2 linked regions of the Kluyveromyces lactis genome follow. The protein of the gene in region 2 purifies or fractionates together with the protein of the main gene of each other region. This does not show direct contact. Links are inferred from orthologs where the notes say so. Each region holds a gene or a part of one and is shown on either strand. Other genes may lie near its edges.

What was found. The genes of interacting proteins can lie anywhere in the genome.
Region 1: the proteins of BRF1 (region 2) and RPC17 purify together in Saccharomyces cerevisiae (affinity purification with mass spectrometry; 3 studies listed by BioGRID, with this or other methods). This does not show direct contact. The link is inferred for Kluyveromyces lactis from reciprocal best matches to the Saccharomyces cerevisiae genes BRF1 and RPC17.

What each region holds. Positions count from the first base shown.
Region 1 is NC_006042.1:2,114,253-2,116,669, reverse strand, and holds RPC17 (DNA-directed RNA polymerase III subunit RPC17), read left to right. Parts: upstream 1-1,449; coding exon 1,450-1,917; downstream 1,918-2,417. Other genes in the region: CRH1 (transglycosylase), read left to right, coding at 1-1,140; VTC4 (Vtc4p), read left to right, coding at 2,145-2,417. UniProt on the Saccharomyces cerevisiae protein: DNA-dependent RNA polymerase catalyzes the transcription of DNA into RNA using the four ribonucleoside triphosphates as substrates. Specific peripheric component of RNA polymerase III which synthesizes small RNAs, such as 5S rRNA and tRNAs.
Region 2 is NC_006037.1:496,688-500,044, forward strand, and holds BRF1 (transcription factor TFIIIB subunit BRF1), read left to right. Parts: upstream 1-1,186; coding exon 1,187-2,857; downstream 2,858-3,357. Other genes in the region: CPD1 (2',3'-cyclic-nucleotide 3'-phosphodiesterase), read right to left, coding at 179-820. UniProt on the Saccharomyces cerevisiae protein: General activator of RNA polymerase III transcription. Interacts with TBP. Binds to Pol III subunit C34 and to the TAU135 component of TFIIIC.

The DNA.
Region 1 (2,417 bases), on a different chromosome or scaffold from region 2:
ATTATGTTTGGTAAAGTTCAAGCGATTGCCAAGGCTGCCGGTGGTCAAGGTATTATTTCCTCATTCTATTTGCAAAGTGATGATCTTGATGAAATTGATATCGAATGGACTGGTACTGATACTACTCAAGTTCAATCCAATTTCTTCTCCAAGGGTGAAACTACTACATTTGACCGTGGTGCTTTCCATTCGGTGGACGATCCTCAAGGTTCTTACCACAATTATACCATTGATTGGACTAAGGATGAAATCAATATCTATGTCGACAGTGCACTGGTAAGGACTATCACCAGTGACAATGGTCAAGGATACCCAGAGTCTCCAATGCGTATTTTCACAGGTATTTGGGCTGGTGGTGATTCCCAAAACGAGCCCGGAACCATTGAATGGGCAGGTGGTTTGACCGATTATACCAAAGCTCCATTCAGCATGTATTTGAAAGACGTTATCGTTGTTGATTACTCCACTGGTACAGAATACTCATACTCAGGCACCGATGGTACTTGGGAATCTATTGAAGCTAATGATGGTGAGGTGTATGGTAGATATGATCAAGGAGTAGCAGATTTCGATAAGTTAGCTTCTGGTGGAAGCGTATCAGACGACACTTCATCTTCATCCTCCTCATCCTCCACATCTTCATCTTCAACCAAGACAAGTGCATCTCCATCTACATCCAAATCTTCATCCACTTCCTCATCCTCATCTTCATCCTCATCCTCATCCGCATCATCATCATCCTCATCCTTATCCTCATCCTCCCCCACTACGACTTCTAAATCTAGTACCACAATTCCAACTACTTCCACTGAAAGCACCTTGAACACAACTAGTGCTTCATCTACCAGTGCTTCATCATCCAGTATTACTGCATTGAACACAACATCTTCCTCCACTTCCCTATCATCTTCTTCAACTCAGTTGAATACAACTGAATCTCTAATAACTTCCACGGAAGAACTTGTGACCACAGGTTTCTCATCTTTGGTCACTACCACCGCTGCTGACGAAGAGATCACATCGTATGCCACTGGCGAGACAAGCTCATCAGCTGCTTTAACATCCACACAGTCAGAAAACGCTGCTGCTTTCAATTTACCGCAATTGCTTGCTATCATTCCAGCACTTCTACTTCTCTAATAAATAGTCATTTTGTAATATAAACTAACCTCGTTGAATTTTAATAGGTGCATCTTAATCGCTATGGTACCAGCATCAGCCATGCAACTGGTATGCACAAAGCAGGATACGTATACCCTGAGCACTTGTTTCGTTCATCTAAATCATGATACACGGGATTATTTTTCACCGCTTCGAATATATTGAAAGCCATGCAAAGAGAAGAGATGAGCTGAGTTGAGATCAAAGAGTAGCAAGTAATAAAGACTGTATCGGCCTATACTGAATTATCCAAGTAAAAAGCTTCTCATATAACAAAATTCCAAGAAAATGCGCGTGCTTGAGGAAAAAAACGCTTTTATGAGCGACTACGAAACTTTGCAGTTCCTCATATCATTACAGAATCAACACCGATGGACCTCTGGATCAAAATCAGACAGGAAACACAACAAACCATACTACCATCCAGAACTGCAAACGATAACCAGAGACACGGTAAGGTACATAACACAGCGTTCCACTACAGCAGAAGACCCAGAAGAACCAGAAACGTCGGACAAGACCGTACCCAATAACGCCAACAAATCCACACTGCTGAACCTAACTACAGACCAATTCTCAACACTAATGCAAGAATTAAATGCTTTCCCACTATACAAAGCAGAAAAACTACAAATAGTGAACCAATTACCAACAAACTTGGTCCATTTGTATAGCATAGTCGAAGAGTGCGAATCAAGACTTGACGAAGGTCAGGTGACCTCGCTTCTCGAATGCATCTCCCGCACGTGCCTCTAATTATTATACACCATAATACAATATCTATAATGTTTAAATGCTTGGAGAAAAAAATCACATATAACAGACCGAAATACAATGAGAAAAAAGATCAGGAACATGAGTTTCAATGTTTCCAAGTGACAGTATAAGGGAAAAAAGGGATACCCTAGAATAAAGTAGTTATCAGGGCTTCTGAGTGGGTTAGACTTGCATCAGGACCTTTGAAATAGCTGATACTGATAACGATGGTAAAATTTGGTGAACATTTGAAGCGATCTTTGATTCGTGAGTACAGTTATTACTATATCAGTTACAATGACTTGAAGACGGAGTTACAGGAATCCTTGGAAGCTAACAACGGAAAATGGAACGAGGATTTGGAGACTCAGTTTTTGGAGTCCTTGGAAATTGAATTGGATAAAGTGTACACTTTTTGCAAAGTGAAGCATAACGAGGTAGTGCGTCGTATCAAGCAAGCCCAGGAACAAGTTTCTGTCGCTGTGCGTTCTTTGGATACA
Region 2 (3,357 bases):
CCCTATCTGCAGCCAGAAACAAACATGTATTGTGATAAACCCGATACTCTTTGCTATTCAAAGAGAACCTTTTTTCCTTTTATACTATTTGAAACCATTTTTTTTCAAGTTTTCACCATTACATTACTATTATGCATATTTGTATTTATATACTGGTATTATATGACATTGACTTGCCTTATCCATGGACTGTCACTTCTGATAGCACTTCCCATTCTTCTACAGGACCTTCACATCTGACCACTTTGAAAGTCAACGGGAAAGACCATCCTTTGAGAGTGTGTTGTAATTTATACGCGTCTTGGTCCCTGCTATGCGACTCTATTTCTTCTGTAGTTACATCAAATAAGTCTTCAATTCTCTGCCTTATCAACCGTATCATTGCTTGGTCCATCGGATAGATATCTGAGTAGGCTAGCGAAAGATGTGGATGGAATTCCTCAAATAACCAGGTATCAATGTTCAATTCTCCGACGAACATCGATCTTATCAACTTCGCGAGACTGTACAACATAGGGTTTGGTTTGCACTCCAATCTGCATTTCTCAAAGTACTTCTTGCCAATATTGAAACCATCAAACTCGACAAGCGCATTCTCACTATCTACTTTAGATTTTACTGCATTTATAGCATGATGAGCCATCTCAAGTACCTTATGCACTTCCTCCATGTTCTCACATGAGAGACCACTACACACAGTAACATGGGGCTCAAATACAGGAGAATTCGGGAATAAAGTTTGTAATGACTCTATCAGAGTTTTAAAAGTCTCATATTCAGGACTGTGTCCATATGGACATAACCATAGAGATATACCCATTCTTCCCTAATTGAGCACAAGCAGGATAATATAGGGATAGTTTAGCCGAGTAAGGTCACTAAGTATTCCCTGACAGCAACAAAAGAAATTGACAAGTTTAGCTTATAAGTATGTCAATCTTCAACCTTTGAATAGTGAAAGTACCCTTGAATACTGTCCTGTTCAAAGTTCTTGTCCCTATATGTAATGATAAGTTCATCATTATCGAAAGAGCGTTTTTTTTTTTTTTTTGAATGTAAAGAAGTTGACATTAGAAAACAACAAAATATCGCCGGTTTCATCACTCCCACAAGTAGAAGAAGAGCGAAAAAACTGGGTTATAACAGTTGAGAAGCACATTCAGGCCAGGAAACCAGCTTCAAGAGGATGGCATCCACTTTACAGGTTTCGTCACGAAAGTGTAAGAACTGTGGTTCGACGGATTTTGTCCGTGATATTAGTAATACTACTAATGAATTGATCTGTAAAGTATGTGGTTTAGTCACTGAAGAGAACTCTATCGTGTCTGAAGTCACGTTCGGTGAGGCTAGTAATGGTGCAGCTGTCATTCAGGGTGCTTTTGTCAGTGCGAATCAGGCACATCCAACGTTTATGTCACATTCCGGTCAGAATGCTTTGATGTCCAGAGAAACTACTTTGAACAACGCTAGGCGGAAGTTGAAAGCTGTCTCCTATGCGTTAAATATTCCCGAATATGTTACTGATGCTGCTTTCCAATGGTATAGATTGGCTTTGAGTAATAATTTTGTTCAAGGTAGGAAATCACAAAATGTGATTGCCGCTTGTTTGTACATCGCATGTCGTAAAGAACGTACTCATCACATGCTTATTGACTTTTCATCAAGGTTACAAGTGAGTGTTTATTCTATTGGTGCCACATTTTTGAAGCTAGCGAAGAAGTTACAAATAGTTAAGTTACCTCTAGCTGACCCATCTTTGTTCATTCAACATTTCGCGGAGAAATTGGAGCTTGGTGATAAAAAGATTAAAGTGATAAGGGACGCTGTGAAACTGGCACAAACTATGTCCAGAGATTGGATGTATGAAGGGAGAAGACCAGCTGGTATCGCAGGTGCATGTCTCTTACTTGCCTGTAGAATGAACAATTTGAGAAGAACGCATTCTGAAATCGTGGCAATATCTCATGTTGCAGAGGAAACGCTTCAGCAAAGATTGAATGAGTTTAAGAATACAACATCAGCTAAGCTCTCCGTGAAAGAGTTCCGTGATGATGAAACTGAGGTAAATGAGGGTGAGAGAAGTGCCGAATCGAAACCTCCTAGTTTCGATAAGAACAGACTAAAGGAAAAGAAAATAAAAGATTCTTTGGATACTAAAGAGATGTTGGAGACAAGCGAGGAAGCCGTGTCAAGAAATCCAATTTTGACTCAAGTGCTCGGAGCGCAGGAACTATCGTCTAAAGAAGTCCTTTATTATTTGAAGAAGCTTTCTGAACGCAGAAAAGCTGAATTCAGTCGTATAAAAGCTACGCATGGAATCGATGGAGAAGACTTACACAAAACTGAGAAAGACAAGAAACGTTCCCTGGATGAAATTGATGGATATAGTCTTGAAAAGGATCCATATAGACCAAGAAATTTACATTTATTACCCACCACAGCTTCTCTGCTTTCAAAAGTCAGCGATCATCCTGAAAATTTGGATGATGTTGATGATGCAGAATTGGATTCTCACTTGTTAGATGAAGAAGCTTCCAAATTGAAAGAACGTATTTGGATTGATATCAACGGTGATTACTTGATTGAACAAGAATCAAAAAGACTCAAACAGGAAGCAGATTTGGCCAGTGGGAATACTTCGCTACGAAAAAAACGCAGCAAACGTACTAATAGAAACCAATCCAGTGCAAGCATCGTCAAAGTTCAAGTCGACGGACTACCGCTTGATGTTTCCGTGGATGACGCTGATGCTGTAGATGTTGTCGCAGCTGGAGGTGTCAAGAATCTATTACAAAAGACGACTTTCTCAAAGAAGATCAATTACGATGCTATTAACGGTCTCTTTGGACAAAAATAGTTTCTACGTCGTCACTGTTTCTCTTCTCTTGTACGATATCCATCAGATCAAACTCAAGAAAATTATATGAATACCAACTGCTATTTACATATCGTTACTTGATACAGATGTCTGTTTTTGCTCTTTTTTATTTTAATATTTTACACTAAATTGGTGTATCAATTTCATTTCGATTATATTTTTGGAACTATATTTAAACGGCGTACATAATTTATAAACATTGCAAACAAATATTCGTTTGGTGTGGACTATTATTCATTTATGGAACACAATAATAAGCTACCATCAGTATACCATTTTGCCTATTCAGATATTAAAGAGCCTTAAACCCACTTTTTGCCTCTGGTTTCTTCTTTCCGTACCGTGAGTGAAAAGAAATTTTTTAGAAGGAAGAAAATTTTGAGATGAGATGCGATGAGATAGAACCTATGTATGAACAAAGTATATCACTCCGAGACAACTAAAGTTGCCTAACACTATTCGAACTTGTGCAAATCAAC